Callithrix jacchus: one gene and its partners. The protein of the gene in region 3 purifies or fractionates together with the protein of the main gene of each other region. This does not show direct contact. Links are inferred from orthologs where the notes say so. Each region holds a gene or a part of one and is shown on either strand. Other genes may lie near its edges.

Evidence for each region. Proteins that work in one complex are often made in the same cells at the same time.
Region 1: the proteins of MMS19 (region 3) and RTEL1 purify together in Homo sapiens (affinity purification with western blotting; 4 studies listed by BioGRID and IntAct, with this or other methods). This does not show direct contact. The link is inferred for Callithrix jacchus from reciprocal best matches to the Homo sapiens genes MMS19 and RTEL1.
Region 2: the proteins of MMS19 (region 3) and DNA2 purify together in Homo sapiens (affinity purification with mass spectrometry; 3 studies listed by BioGRID and IntAct, counting the BioPlex papers as one, with this or other methods). This does not show direct contact. The link is inferred for Callithrix jacchus from reciprocal best matches to the Homo sapiens genes MMS19 and DNA2.

What each region holds. Positions count from the first base shown.
Region 1 is NC_133506.1:59,155,651-59,161,354, reverse strand, and holds part of RTEL1 (regulator of telomere elongation helicase 1), read right to left. Parts: intron 5,399-5,704; coding exon 5,305-5,398; intron 4,609-5,304; coding exon 4,527-4,608; intron 4,329-4,526; coding exon 4,268-4,328; intron 1,154-4,267; coding exon 1,078-1,153; intron 1-1,077. UniProt on the Homo sapiens protein: A probable ATP-dependent DNA helicase implicated in telomere-length regulation, DNA repair and the maintenance of genomic stability. Acts as an anti-recombinase to counteract toxic recombination and limit crossover during meiosis.
Region 2 is NC_133513.1:61,979,061-61,984,764, reverse strand, and holds part of DNA2 (DNA replication ATP-dependent helicase/nuclease DNA2), read right to left. Parts: intron 3,132-5,704; coding exon 2,901-3,131; intron 1-2,900. UniProt on the Homo sapiens protein: Key enzyme involved in DNA replication and DNA repair in nucleus and mitochondrion.
Region 3 is NC_133513.1:90,279,009-90,283,371, forward strand, and holds the end of MMS19 (MMS19 nucleotide excision repair protein homolog), read right to left. Parts: intron 4,046-4,363; coding exon 3,945-4,045; intron 3,789-3,944; coding exon 3,732-3,788; intron 3,292-3,731; coding exon 3,105-3,291; intron 2,804-3,104; coding exon 2,721-2,803; intron 2,595-2,720; coding exon 2,430-2,594; intron 2,351-2,429; coding exon 2,291-2,350; intron 1,986-2,290; coding exon 1,885-1,985; intron 1,805-1,884; coding exon 1,777-1,804; 3' UTR 1,423-1,776; downstream 1-1,422. Other genes in the region: palmitoyltransferase ZDHHC16, read left to right, coding at 258-372. UniProt on the Homo sapiens protein: Key component of the cytosolic iron-sulfur protein assembly (CIA) complex, a multiprotein complex that mediates the incorporation of iron-sulfur cluster into apoproteins specifically involved in DNA metabolism and genomic integrity.

The sequences.
Region 1 (5,704 bases), on a different chromosome or scaffold from region 3:
GGGGCCGCCATGGCTTCTGACCAGGAAGAAGCCTTATCCTGCACGTGGGAGCCCAGATGGGAAGCTGCTGTCTGGGATGGATGGGGAGTACATATCAGTTTCCAACCATGTGAATCATCGTCTTTTTAAAAACTCAATGGAAGGGTCAGGCACGGTGGCTCATGCCTGTAATCCAAGCACTTTGGGAGGCCCAGGCGGGTGGATCACCTGAGGTGGGGAATTCAAGACCAGCCTGACCAACATGGTGAAACCCTGTCTCTATAAAAACAACAACAACAAAAACTCAATGGAAAAGAAAAAACAACCCTATTCCCGAATAGAGGTCATCAGAAACAAACACAACACAGAAGCACTAAAAAAAAAGCAGAGCTGGTAAGGTGCAGTGGCTCACGCCTGTAATCCCATCACTTTGGGAGGCGAAGGTGGGCAGGTATCTTGAGCTCAGGAGTTTGAGACTGGCCTGGGCAACACAGTGAGACCCTGTCTGTACAAAAAATACAAAAATTAACCAGGAATGGTGGTGCGTGCCTGTAGTCCCTGCTACTTGGGAGGCTCAGCTGGGAGAATCGCTTGAGCCTGGGAGGTTGAGGCTGCAGTGGGCCGAGATCCCGACTCTGCACTCCAGCCTAGGAAACAGAGCTAGACTCTGTCTCACAAAAAAAGGGGGGAGGGGAGCTTTTCACCCTAAATATAAGAAAAGCTTTATTACAACTTGAATCTCTGAAGCTATAATCTATTGATGTCGGACATATCTGCTGTCCTCAAAAGAACGAGGCCAAGCTACCAGCACCAGTGTGAGAAGCTATTCACAATGCTGTGAAAACGGAAAATGGCAGACAAAGCCTCCACAGCAGACACAGGGGCCACAGTGGCCATCTGGGGTGGCTGAGGGCCAGGGACTAGGGAGGCAGTTTTGCTTTTTACTTACGTTCCTCAGGGCTGCTGAAACTTTTTCATACTGAATGGTTGTTAGTTTCATAATTTAAAAAGAAAGAAACATATTGGGGGTTCAGCAGGCCACAGGAGAGCTGGGCCGTGGAAGGACATGGTGGGTGTGGCCTCACTGACGGGTCTCACCTGTGCCTGCTTCCGCTCTTGACCAAGTCCTCGATGTCCAGGATGGGGCTGGTCAGCTCCTGCTCCAGGCTCTTCTCTGTAGGTGTGAGGCAGGGGTAAACACATACCCTCAGGGTCCGCTAAGTCTCCCAGACCACAAGGGGATGCCCAGGACAGAACAGCTCCTACACAGTGGGCAGGGCTGGGCGTTCTCCCACAACCGGGAACATGCCACAAAGCACCCACTGAGGGTCTCAGGTGCCCAAGGGAGGCCCCCACCCAAAGTGATCCCAAGGGAGTCCTCCTCTGCCCTAGAAGGCAGTCTGAGGCTGAGGGTGGATCCAACAGAGGCCAGCAGGGTCCCGAGGGTTCTCCACATCCTCTCCAAGACAACTCAAGATAGTACAGGAGTGGTGGCCATACCCAGCCCTCCTCAGGGCAGGAAAGGACAGCCCCTCAGCCTATTGCCCCAGCTCACAGAGGTGTCTCTCACAAACCCTTGCGATTACAGCCAGTCACTCAGCTTCCCTGCCAACCACAACAGACCCAGAACTTCCAGCTAAAAAAGAACCAGGTTTTCCTGTGTTAAACAGTGCCCCACCCCCACCCCCGCAGCATGGCAGCCATGAGAAAGGGCACTGCCTATGCTGGCTGAGAGGCCCAGGGCAGAAAAGATCTCAGGGAGTTTGGGGGATGGCCTGCCCCTCCCTTGCCTCCACAGCACAGGCTCCCAAACTGGAACCACAAGAATTCCTTAAGGAGCTGCTTAAACACAGACAGGACCAGGGACCTCTTCTAACAAGCATCCCAGAGTCTTAGGGCAGTCACATGTGGCCGTGGAGCCTCCCCCAGCTCCCGACTCCATCATGGTTATTTTGTGCCAGTCCCCAGCAGATGCCAGGTCCCCTGAGGGCCAGGACTCAGCTGCAGAGGCCAGAAGCAAGTGTGTACACACATACACGCACACACGCACATACACACACCCCAGAGATGACTCAACCCAGGACTCAGCTGCAGAGGCCAGAAGCATGCACGCACACACGCGCACACACACACGTGCACGCACACATACACACACATCTACACACCAGCGATGACCCAACCCCACATGCCCCCAGGGATAGCAGGGAAGGCAGGGGAGGAAAAGCACACTCCTTAGCAGCACCATAGCAACAGGCCAGCCAATCAGCATGCGCTGCAACACATGGGCACTTTCCAGCCCTTCCCGGGTGGAGAGCTGAGGGTGGGGCGAGGACAGGAGCTGCGAGGGGAAGGGGACGAGGGGCAGGGGTGTCCCAGAGGCTCTCCAGCTGTCTCCTTGTTCGTCCAAAATACCTGCCTCCCTTCCTCTCATGTCCCTCCTGGAGCTGCAGCCCACTCCAAAGATGCCCAGGCCTGTGCAGCTGCTGCAGACACCACCCTCACAGCCCATCCAGGGGGCAGACAGGACACCAAGGTTCACAGCTAGGCAACCCCAGCAGGTCAGGCAATGAGAGCCCAAGCCAAGGGAGACAGGCTGGGGGCTGGTCTGTGTCTTCTTGGACTGAGCTCACAGGCTGGGGGAGGAGAAAGAGGGGGGACTCAACACCCATAGGCCTGACACCCATGGAAGCAGAACCAGGAGGCAGTCAACTACTCTCACCAGGGAGCAAGTCCAGCAGCCATAGGGCACTGCCCTAGTCCAGGACCATGGCAGGCCAGGCCTATGGTCAGCGTTCCACACTATCCCAAGGACCCCGCTGCATGGGCCTAGGGACACCCAGAAGGCGTTCCTGTCCTATCCGGGCGAGGAACTTGGAAATGACAACTGTTGACAATTTCCAACAACACATCTGCCTGTCCGTCCCAGAGTCACCTCCCACAGGCATTGCTGAGAGAAGCGTGCAGCTCCCGTCAGGGAACCTGGGGCTCAGATACAGAGCCCCTTCTCAGGACCACCAGAAAGGCCTGGACAACCACACATCAAGGTGACTGGGGGCTTCGGTGTCACCAGACCAAAAAACCAACAAAGAAGAAAGCTACACAGAACACACCTCAGCAAGTGGGGCTCCCTGCAGGGCCAGGTTCCATCCACTCTGTCTTTTCAAGGGGCAGGGTCCAGAAATGCCTGGTGGTGGGTCACGAGGGACCAGCCAGCTGCGCCCCTGGCAGGGGAGCACTGTCCTAGATGCCACGGCAGCTTCAGGGTCCTCAGTCCTGGCACACTGAGCACTCGACAAGCATCCTGCAGACAGCAGCCTACAGGACCACTGCCGCCTTCTACGCTGCAGGGCCACATCAGCCGAGGCTCGAGCCCCACCGAGGCAGGGAACAGGGAACCCTGATCCCACAGAAGCCCAGGCCCCAGCGACTGCAGACATGACACCTCAGGTCACAGAAAACACCAAGGGCACCAGACAGGGGCTCACCCTGCCACTGCCTCTGGGACCCTGAGATGAGCCTCAGAAGCCCAACACACCAGAGGAGCAGCCACGTGGGTGGAAAAGCACCCCTGGCCTCTGACAGGCTGTGGCTGCCCCGGGTAGATAACTTTCACTCACTCGTCCTGTCTCTGGAAGAAGCCCCGGGGCCTCCTGTGTGGGACCCACAGGACTCAGCCTGGAGTCACACTTGGGGCTGTAATTATTCGCAGCAAGGGAGTACACAGCAAGGTCAGCACAGGAAAAAGACACATGGGGCAGGGTCGGGGGAGGTCAGACACAGCTTCCAAGACCCCTCCCAGAATGGTATGAGGGCCAGTCCCAGGAGCACCCACTGCCGGGCAAGCAACAAAATCCCAGGCTCCCCGAAGAGAAAGAAGGTATTCAGCAAAACCCTACTGTTTGCACCAACACTTTAGATGCAGGAAGCCCCTCATCAGGAAACGGAGGGAGCCTTTGCAAAACCCATGACCCCAGGCACCAACCAGTCTTGCCGGCTGGCTGTCTTGGACCACTGTGTGAGCTCTTCCACACAGGAGCCTATCACAGAGGCCTCGAGTCAGAAGACAGGGCCCAGGTACACGACTGCACTGGCCATCCCACCAGGCAAGCACGACCAGGCTGTGACACCACAGAGCTCTGCCCTGAGAGATTCACACACTTGAACCCCACCCTGGTCCCACCGACCCTGGTCCTACCAACCCTGGTCCCACCAGCTCCGGCCCCACCAAGCTCCGCCTGAGAGACTCACACACTCCAACCCAACCCCGGCCGCAACGAGCTGCTTGTACCTTCTACGTTGTTGTAGAAATGACAGGAGTGACTTGCCACCTTCTTTCGACACAAGTGGATCTGAGGGAGGAAGGGCAAAGTGCGAGGCTAGAGCCCGGCCAAGAAAGGAACCGAATCAGCCTCCACCCACCAGGTCCTCCCCTGCAGTCCCCCGGGTGTACTTCAAACCCTATCCCAGAGGGAGCAGATCCTGGGGCTCTGGACACCCAGCAGCACTCGCCTCACGGAATCCTGAACCACAGGAGCCCAGGAACCCACCTGCATGTGGTTACTCTCCTGCTTCTTCACTTCAGGGTGGATGCACAGCTGCTCCCGGGAGCCCAGCACACACACCTTAGGCCTGATGGGAGAGGGCACATGGGTGGGAGACCAGCACACACCCCTCAGGCCTGGTGGGAGAGGGCACATGCGTGGGAGCCCAGCACACCCTCAGGCCTGGTGGGAGAGGGCACGTGGGTCGAGGAGGAGCTGCCTCTAACAGTCACAGAGTGTTCCCACAGCGTGAGCTGTATGAGGACACAAAAGTGCCTCAGTGGCCAGAGGAAGCGAGCATAACTGCAACGTGGCCCAGGCATGGGAGGGAGCAAGAAGACAGTGGGGGGGGCCTGGACAGAGGGTCAAGACTCGACAACTTCCATAGCACCCTGCCATCGGTCCTGCCACAGGAACCAGGACAGAATACCAGACTCTGCTGGGCTCTGACAAGCGGCAGGGCCTCTTCCCACTTCATGTGCAAAGCTGCACTGCAGTCTGGCCCTGCCCCACAACTGCCACAGCACCCACCGCCTGCAAGGAGCTCAAGACACCAGCCCAAAGTCAGCACACAAATGCAAAGCTAATTTCTCACCAGTCACAGGTACTGGAGGCAGCCCAGGCCCCAGCCTACCCCTGGGCACCAGCACACTGCACACTCCTGGGGAGCGTCTAGAAAGACCACCACTCTCCACCACTACACAGCATGGGCTGTGTACCCTGCACCATGCCAAGTTGGGTTCTCTCAATGACCCTGAGACAGGTGTGAACTCGCCTGACCCACCGGTAGGAGGTGTTCCGAAGCTCGCTGATGACCTGGGTGAGTTGTGAGTGGGTCCTGGAGGCATAAATGATCTTTGGGACGTCCGTGTAGCAAGCTGAGCAGATACAAGCAAGTACACAGGTCATGGCTCTCACACAACGTTCTCACGTGCCGAAGGCAGGTGGCATTCAGCTAACTCAACCCTGCAGACAGCCAACAATCTGATACCCCAGATACTCGTTTATCAAAAATGGATGACATGGGTATTCCAGTGCCCTAATTCAGCAGAAAAGCCCAACCCCAGGTTTATACCTAAGATGGCAAGAAATTGTGTGGTACCTACAAAATTCTTGAGCTCTGCTTGAGAGACAGCAGAAGGCCCCGTGGACCACCCCACCCTCAGCACCATCCCTTTCCCACC
Region 2 (5,704 bases), about 28 Mb from region 3:
TTGGTAGTTCACCAAAATGTTAAATATGAAATTAGCACATGACCCATGCCTAGGTAACTACAAAGAAAATGAAAGAAATGAAACTATGGCCACCTAAAACTATGCATGTGAATGTTCATGCAATGTAATGCAATATTACTCATTACAGCAAAAAAGTGGAAACAACTCAAATGTCCATCAGCCAGCCAATGAATGGATGAACAAAATGTGGTCTATCCATACAACAGAATACATTCAGCCATAAAAAAATGAGGGTCTCATATATGCTGAAACGTGAATGAACCTTGCAAACATTAGGCTAAGTGAAAGAAGCCAGACACAAAAGGTCACATAATGAATGGTTCTACTTATATCATATATCCAGAATAGATGAATCCATACAGAAAGAAAGCCAATTAGTAGTTGCCAGGGAGTTGAGGGAGGAGAGAGGGGATAGGAATGACGTTTCCTTTTAGGGTGATAAACGTGTCTTAGAAATAGAGGGAAGTGATGGTTGCACAATATTGGGAATACACTAAACACCAATTATATACATTAAAATGGTTAATGATCAATTGTATGTTATATACTTTTTTTTTTTTTATTTTTTGAGACAGAGTTTTGCTCTTGTTGCCCAGGCTGGAGTGCAATGACATGATCTTGGCTCACTTCAATCTCCACTTCCCAGATTCAAGCAATTCTCCTGCCTCAGCCTCTTGAGTAGCTAGGATAGGGGGGTGGGGGCAGAAGCTCATTATCACTGGTCATTAGAGAAATGCAAATCAAAATCACATTGAGATACCATCTCACTCCAGTTAGAATGGCAATCGTTAAAAAATCAGGAGACAGCTGGGCATGGTGGCTCATGCCTGTAATCCCAGCACTTTGGGAGGCCAAGGCAGGCAGATCACGAGGTCAGATCAAGACCATCCTGGCCAACACAGTGAAACCCCATCTCTACTAAAAATACAAAAAATTAGCTGGGTACAGTGGCAGGCGCCTGTAATCCCAGCTATCAGGAGGCTGAGGGAGGAGAATCGCTTGAACCCAGGAGGCAGAGGTTGCAGTGAGCCATTGCACTTCAGCCTGGGCAACACAGCAAGATTCTGTCTCAAAAAAAAAAAAATTCAGGAGACAGATGCTAGAGAGGATGTGGAGAAATAGAAACACTTTTACACTGTTGGTGGGAGTGTAAATTAGTTCAACCATTGTGGAAGACTGTGGTGATTCCTCAAGGATCTAGAAACAGGAATACCATTTGACCCAGCAATCCCATTACTGGGTAGACACCAAAAGGATTATAAATCACTCTATTATAAAGACATATGCACACGTTTATTACAGGACTGTTCACAATAGCAAAGACTTGGAACCAACCCAAATGCCCATCAATGAGAGACTGGATAAAGAAAATATGGCACATACACACCATGGAATAATATGCGGCCATGAAAAAGGATGAGTTCATGTCCTTGGCAGGGACATGGATAAAACTGGAAACCATCATTCTCAGCAAACCGACACAAGAACAGAAAAACAAAGACTGCATGTCCTCACTCATAAGTGGGTGGTGAACAATGAGAACACATGGACACAGGGGAGGGAACATCACACATCAAGGCCGTTCAGAGGGTGGGTGCTAGGGGAGGAATAGCAGGGGGTAGGGGGATAGGGGAGGTATAGCATTAGGAGAAATACCTAATGTAGATGAAGGGGTGATGGATGCAGCAAACCACCATGGCACATGTATTACTATGTAACAAACTGGCATGTTCAGTACACATACCCCCAAACTTAAAGTAAAATAAAATTCAAAAAGAGAAAAAAAAAGCTGGGTGCAGTGGCTCATGCCTGTAATCCCAGCACTTTGGGAGGCCAAGGCGGGTGTATCACGAGGTCAAGAGATCAAGACCATCCTGGTCAACATGGTGAAACCCCGTCTCTACTAAAAATACAAAAAATTAGCTGGGCGTGGTGCCGCGTGCCTGTAATCCCAGCCACTCAGGAGGCTGAGGCAGGAGAATTGCCTGAACCCAGGAGGCGGAGGTTGCGATGAGCCGAGATTGCGCCATTGCACTCCAGCCTGGGTAACAAGAAAAAAACTCCGTCTCAAAAAAAAAAAAGAAAAAAAAAAGAACTTTCATTCCAACCTCAAATAAATAAATAAATAAATAAATAAATAAAATGGTTAATGATCAATTTTATGTTATATATTTATTTTTTTTTTGAGACAGAGTTTCGCTCTTATTACTCAGGCTAGAATGGAATGGCACGATCTTGGCTCACTGCAATCTCCATCTCCTGGGTTCAAGCGATTCTCTTGCCTCAGCCTCCCAAGCAGCTGGGATTACAGGCATCCACCACCACGCCCAGCTAATTTTATATTTTTAGTAGTGATGGGGTTTCACCATGTTGGCCAAGCTGGTCTTGAACTCCTGACCTTAGGTGATCTACCCACCGCAGCCTCCCAAAGTGCTGGGATTACAGGCTTGAGCCACTGCACCCAGCAAATTTATTTTAAAAAAGGAATAAAATGCTGATACGTAAGTTACAACGTGAAGACGAATTTCAAAAACAGCATGCTGCGTGAAAAAAGCCAGTCATCAAAGACCACATATTGCATGATTCTATTTATATGAAATGCCCAGAGTGGGCAAATCTACAGAGACAGAAAGTAGGTTAGTGGTTGCCTTGGGCTGAGGGAATTGGAGGAAAATGAGAAGTGACTACTAAAGGGTATAGGGCTTCTTTCTTGGGGGTTCGTTTTGGGGTGACGAAAATGCTAAAAATTGATTGTGGTGATGGCTGCACAACTCTGTGAATATACTAAAAACCACTAAATTGCACTTTAAATAATGAACTACACAGATATGAGTTATACATCAATAAAGCTGTTACAAAAAAAAGTAACATTTCATTACCTGTCTAATAAACAAGTTACTGTTGTCATGTTAACCTCCTTCACATATCCTCTACACAAAGCAAATAGTGATCTTTCTTCTCCACTCACAATAATTCTGTCACCTGCCATTAGATTTGTGACAGGTATGGCACCATTTTTATGTTGGAAATTATGTAAATACTGTCCATCACAAACTGTCTTTACATGTTCCATTCGAATCAAGTTTCCAATGCAACTGCCACCCTTCTCCCTATGAAAAAGACCAAAGAGAAAAAGCTTCCGTTTATGTTACATATGTAAGTATTGTCCTTGTATTTTCCTTGTACATATGTAAGTATTGTGCTTGCATTTTCAGATGAACTTACTCGTTCATCTGAGCCCTAAAAACTAATACTGAGCCTGTCATTTTTACATTTTCCACAACCTTCAATAAAGTGTTAGAAATGTTAAGTAAACATTCTATCAGTTTTGGGCTTTTGGAAACAACCTCCAACCCCTCCGGGTCAACTAATTCTCATGCTGCAGACTTCCAAGTAGCTAGGATTACAAGCGTATGCCACCATGCCAAGCTAGTATTTTGTAATTTTAGTAGAGACAGGGTTTCACCATGTTGACCAGGTGGGTTTTGAACTCCTGGCCTTAAGTGACCCACCCGCCTCAGCCTCCCAAAGTGCTGGGATTACAAGCCTGAGCCACCATGCTTGCCCTATCATTAGTTTTTAATGTATTGCTCAACTGTTGTTGAAACTAAAGCAATTTTACAGTCTTGTAGGAAAATGCTAGGGAGCACCCCACTCCTGATGTACCCACGGGCTGGGATCTCTGAACAAGGTGTTTTGTTGCCACTTTGATCCCTGAAAGATAGATACCCCCACCTTTTAAGCTGATACATATAACATTACAGAAAACAAACCATAATAACCTGCTCCTAAATGTGAAATTTTTAAAAATTATAACATATTTCTTTAATATTTACAATAAGATTTATAATAATGACAAGCAAACTGATAATTCCACTGCTTCTAAATGAGTATAAAAGGCCAGGTGTGGTGGCTCACACCTGTAATCTCCGCACTTTGGGAGGCCAAAGTGGGCAAATCACCTGAGGTCAGGAGTTTGAGACCAGTCTGGCTAACATGGTGAAATCCCGTTTCTACTAAAAATACAAAAAATTAACCAGGTGTGCTGTCACATGCCGGTAATCCCAGTTACTTGGGAGGATGAAGGAGGAGAATCACTTGAACCCAGGAGGCAGAGATTGCAGTGAGCCGAGATCGTGCCACTGCACTCCAGTTTGGGCAACAAGAGTGAAATTCCATCTCAAAAGAAAAAAAAAGAAAAAGAAATGAGTATTAAACATTTTAAAACCTCTCTGGCACTACTACAAAATAACATGCAATCTCAGAGGCTTATTGGTATTTACGTAGGTATGACAGATTCACTACACCTTATGCAGTCTAACTACAATTAAATAAACTTACTCCATAGCAATGTTATCTTCTGTTAAAGTCTAATATTGGAGAACTAATGATCCAATTATTTCTAAAGTCATGTCATTAATATTCATTCTGGAAAGAAAAAAAGTGAAACTAAAGCAATTTTTACATTAAAAAAAATTTTGGCTGGGTGAGTGTAATCACAAGGTCAGGAGTTCCAGATCAGCTTGGCCAACATGGCGAAACCCTGTCTCTACTAAAAATACAAAAATTAGCTGGGTATGGTGGCATGCGCCTGTAATCCTAGCTTCTTGGGAGGCTGAGGCATGAGAATTACTGTAACCTGGGAGGTGGAGGCAGCAATGAACCAAGACACTCCCACCTGGGTGACTGAGCAAGACTCTGTCAAAAAAAAAAAGTTTTACATACTATAAAGGGCCTAAGGTTAAAAAAGCTAAAGCAATTACATTTTACATAAATTTTACATGTATATAGTAAACTCACTATACATATGCAGTCTATAATTATATATATATAAACTTTTTCAACTGCAATGTTTCCTTGTATTAAAGTCATTATTAGGTAAATAATGATCCAATTATTTCTAAAGTCACATCATTAATATTCATTCTACAAAGAAAAAATAAGCTAAAGAAATGAAATTTTACATAAAAAAAAATACTATGCAAAGATATACCAAATTCTAGGTGAGGTAGTGGCTTATACCTATAATCTCCGCACTTTGGGAGACCAAGGTGGGAGGATCACTTGAGCCCAGGAGTTTAAGACTAGCCTGGGCAATAGCAAGACTCTGTCTCTATAATAATGTAAAATAAAATAAAATAAAAAATTAGCCGCAGCACAGTGGCTTGCAGGTGTAATACAAGCACTTTGGGTGGTCAAGGTTGGAAGACTGCTTGAGGCCAAGAGTTCAAGACCAGCCTGGGCCACATAGCAAGACCCCTTCTCTAAAAAAAAAAAAAGAACAAAACAAAACAAAAAACAAAAACGGCCAGGCACAGTGGCTCACGCCTGTAATCACAGAACTTTGGGTGGCCAAGGCCTGTGGATCACAAGGTCAGGAGATCGAGACCATCCTGGCCAACATGGTAAAACCCCATCTCTACTAAAGATACAAAAATTAGCAAGTCGTGGTGGCATGTGCCTGTAGTCCCAGCTACTAGGGAAGCCGAGGCAGGAGAATCGCTTGAACCGGGAGGTGGAGGTTGCAGTGAGTGAGATCATGCCACAGCACTCCTGCACTCCAGCCTGGTGACAGAGTACGGCTGTCTCAAAAAAAAAACAAAAACAAAAACAAACAAACAAAAAACATTAGCCAGGGTTGGTGGTATGCACCACTAGCTACTCAGGAGGCTGAGGCAAGATG
Region 3 (4,363 bases):
TTCCCATGCATGTGACACTCCTCCTATCACTGTGCTTACAGTGGCCCTTTAGAAGTTTAGCATGAAACCTCAACAGGCCTTCAAGGCACCAGAAGGTACAATTTGTTGGATAAAATTGGATAGAAGAAATTAGAACTTTTGTTACCTTCATGATTGACACCGAGGTAGCTTCAGGATACCTTGATGTATGCTTGCCAGGGAATGATTAAGGACCAAGAATTCTTGGAACTCAGACAGATTTCTCTCTTCTCTTCTAGGCATTGGCTTACTCGGGTGCTCTTACCTTCTAGTCACCTGCCCCATGGGAATGGAATGAGCTGGGAGCCCCCTCCCTGGGTGACTGCTCACTCAGCCTCTGTGATGGCAGTGTGAGCTAGATTGTGTCAGCCACAACTCGAGCACTCATTCTGCTTCCTATGTTATTTTAAGGGCCTCCAAGGGCAGCTTTTCTTGGAATCCTTGATCAAAAAGAGCCAGTGGGCCTGCCTTAGGGTACCATGCAGGACAATTCAAGGACCAGCCTTTTCACCACTGCAGAAGCAAGACACAATGTGGATAAATCTTAGGACTGACATCCCTTTACTCAGGCAAACAGAAGTTCCAGCCCCAGACTAGGGGTCAGGCAGCTAGCTACCTACCTTACCCAGTGCTGACCCAGACCTCCTCCAGGATACAGCATTGGAGTTGGCCACCACCTCTACTTGCTGTCTGAAAAAATACCTGACTAGTACAGCTGAGATCCTGGCTTCTCAACAGGACAAAGATACCAGGCCTGCTGCTGAGGTCACTGCCACTTCTCACATGCTGCTGAAGGGAGCAAAAAATAAAGGCATTCGATTTTTAAAGGTATGTAGCTCCTCACTCTGCCTCACAATAGGGTGGGGAAGGGGAAAATCAGTGTCAAGACCTAGTGAGTAGGTATTCTGGTCATGCCTCTTACACTTTGGCATGATCTCAACTCACTGCAACCTCCGCCTCCCAGGTTGAAGCGATTCTTGTGCCTCAGCCTCCCAAGTAAAGGCGTGTGCCACCACACCTGGTTAATTTTTGCATTTTTAGTAGACATGGGGTTTAACCAAGTTGCCCAGTATTGAACTCCTGACCTCCAGTGATCCACCCCCCTTGGCCTCCCAAAATGCTGGGATTACAGGCGTAAGCCACCATGCCCAGCCGAATTTTTTAAATTATTTGTGGAGATGGGTTCTTGCTATATTGCCCAGGACCAGTCTCAAACTCCCTGCCTCAAGCAATCCTCCTGCTTCAGTCTCCTAAAGTGTTGGGGTTACAGGCATGAGCTACTTTGTTGGTTACCCTGAAAAATTTTTGGCCAGTCCCTGTCATCATTGTTCTTCCAGCTTAGTTTAGTAATGCCTCTGGTTCTACGAGGCATATGTTGGGTGGGGGAAATGTCTGACAGTCCCATTACCAAAAGACATCTTTATTCTTCAGCAGGTGCACACACAGCCACCACCCCTGGTCCTCAGGGCCACAGTCATATGCACTCACCCCTCAGCAGCATATTACCCCTTCTCTGACATACAAATGCAAGAGACCCAAGACCCTAGATCTTTCTTCAAACACAAGTGTCTCACAGTTAATGCACAAATCCACTAGAAATCTGGACCTTATGCTCCATGCAACAGAAGCCTAGCATTTGTGCTGTGTCTGTAGGAAAGGCAGGCAGAGGCCAGCAGTTTCCCTGCTTTGGGGATGATGGCTCCATAGTTAGTAATTCCAGGTTAGATTGTCAGAACAGTCTAGGCCAGGACTGACAGCTCAGCTGCCAGGGCTCCCCAACAGAAACCTGTAGGCAAAAAGAAAGTTGGCAGCATTAGTGGTAAGGCTCATCTCGGTCCCATTTCTCCCCATGGCCTAGAAACTCACCACTCCCCTCTGGCTGACACTGCTTCCTTGCGCACCAGTCTCTTCTTGTCATCCAAGGGTTTGGCTAAGGCTCGGATCACCTGTGGTTTGTATGGCAGCAGCTGTGGAGTCAGAGGATATAATCAACCTTGCTCATCCAAGGCAACTGAAAGTGCCCCTTTTTTGATTCTGTACAACTAATATTCTGAGGAAACTGAAACATCTTTAGTGATTCCAAGGGATGGCCATTCTGTTACCTTCTGGGCCCAAGGAAAAGAATCCTTGCTTATCTGTACCTTGTAATTCAGATCTCAATTACACAGCAGGGTGTAATTGAAACAGCCAAGCCCACTCGACTAAGGCAAAAAGGTATTTATCTGTCTCTTGAGACGGTCCCAGGCCAGAGAGGGGCACCTGAGGTACTTACCACAGGGGTGGGCAAGCGAGTGAGAGCATGCATGCACTGCAGTGCGGCGATCCGGACGGCCTGGAACACAACCACAAGGAGGTGAGAGCAGACCCAGGGAGAGCTGCTGGTTCCTGAGAGTTGCTGGGGCTCAACATACCATGGAAGGGCTAGAGGTGAGGTTCAGAAACTTGGTGACGAGAGTGTCCACGTGAAGACTCATGACTTGGGGTGCTTCCAGTAGAAGAGGCTGAAGGCAGCTGAGGGTAGAGAGCTGTACCACACAGTCAGGGCAGGACAGGGCCTCCAGCAGCAAGGAAAGAAGCTAAGGGGCAATGGGCAAGGTGTGGGATGGCCACATCATGCAGATCCTGGTTCTTGTACCCTCCCTTTCTAGCCCCATCTGGGAAAGAATTGTCCTTCGCTTAGAGGTTCTACCTGCAGGACTTACTGTGGGCAGCTCTGGCAAGAGCACAGGCTTGGGCAGCCTGTTAAGTACATGAGAAAGACCCTTCAAGTAGTTTGGCTTCACACCTGTAAAAAAATGGGAAAGCTTAGGAGAGAAATTGGGCTTAGATACATAGCTTGAGAATTCAATTCCGATCTGTGATGAGGTTGAGACATCAGCCTACAAAGGGGTGAAAAGCCCTTCATGTTTAGAATAAACAAGATACACCCACAAAGGAAGAAGTGGGACAAGAATCTAGAAGTTCAGTCTCCTAGGCACAGACCACAATATAGCTCTAAAGAAGCAAGCAGGTCCTAAGTTATCGGGTAATGTGGACAAGCAAAGGAGAGGTGTGTATGTGTGGGGCCTTTCTTTCAGACTCCTCACCTTGGGGAGCAGCATGGAAGCCCTGGACCAAAGCAGGCACATTATCTGTGAAGAAGCGCTGGCGGAACATGATCCGCACTTCAGCATGGCCAGCACGAGTCAACACATCAGTGCAGTCAGACATGAGCAGAGAGAAGCCATCAGCTGCTGCTGGACCTAATTCTGGGTCACTCAGGAGGCCCATGAGCTGGAGAAAAGAGAGCCTTTGAGGTACATCAGGGAAGAAGTGTCAAAGACGAGGATGGGGCTGGGTGTGTTGGCTTACCCTTGTAATCTTAGCACTTTTTGGAGGCCAAGGCAGGTGGATTGCTTGAGCCTAGGAGTCTGGGCAACATGGCTAAACCCTGTTCTCACAAAAATTAGCTGGGTGTGGTGGGGTGTGCCTACATCCCAGCTACTTGGGAGGCTGAGGTGGGAGGATCACCTGAGCCTACAGCAGATGAGGTTGCAGTGGGCTGTGATCACCCCACTGCACCCCAGCCTGGGCAACTGTGTGTGAGCCCATCTCAAAAAAACCCAAAATACACACACACACACACACACGAGGATAGACGTCTTTGGGAGGAATAGAATTATCAAGAAAGTTTGTTTAAGTCCTGGGTTCTCCTGTCTCCAGAAAGAACATACCTGGGTTGTAAGGCAGGAGCTGAGAGGATGGTATCTGAGCACTAGGGCCTTCGTTACCTGTAATTGGAGACAGAAAGAGCAATTGGGGAATGACACTCAAACCCCAGAACCCTGAGACACAGAAGTTTATGGTTTGGAGTCAAATAGGGACATTTTGTTTAACCAGACATAATTGCCTCTCTGTCTAACCAGATTCCACCCCCAACTCCTTACCCAGAGAAGAAGAGTGAAGGCCTGACTACGACAGGGCCCAGAGCCCAGGCCAGCCTCTACTTTGTCCACAGCCAGCTGTAGGAATTCATCCAGCTGCTGCCCTAAAAAGGAGGGAGGAAATGCTGACATAGAGGCTACATATACATTTTCCCTTTAACAATGAAGGATGCAAATCATTTAAGTGCAGAGCTCCCTGAGAAGCTGTTAGAAAGGGAAAATATCATTTTCACTTGTGGACAAAATGACAGGACTCCTGCATGAGAGCCTATTATTCTCATAATGCAGGGGTGCTGCCATTTAAAAAGAGAGGGTTGTCTACTTCTAATAAAGAATTGTCCACACTAGCCCCACTGTAGCAGGTAGGATGGCAGAACTAGATGCAGCATTCTGTTTGTGCTCCCTTCTCTTCTGAGGTACTA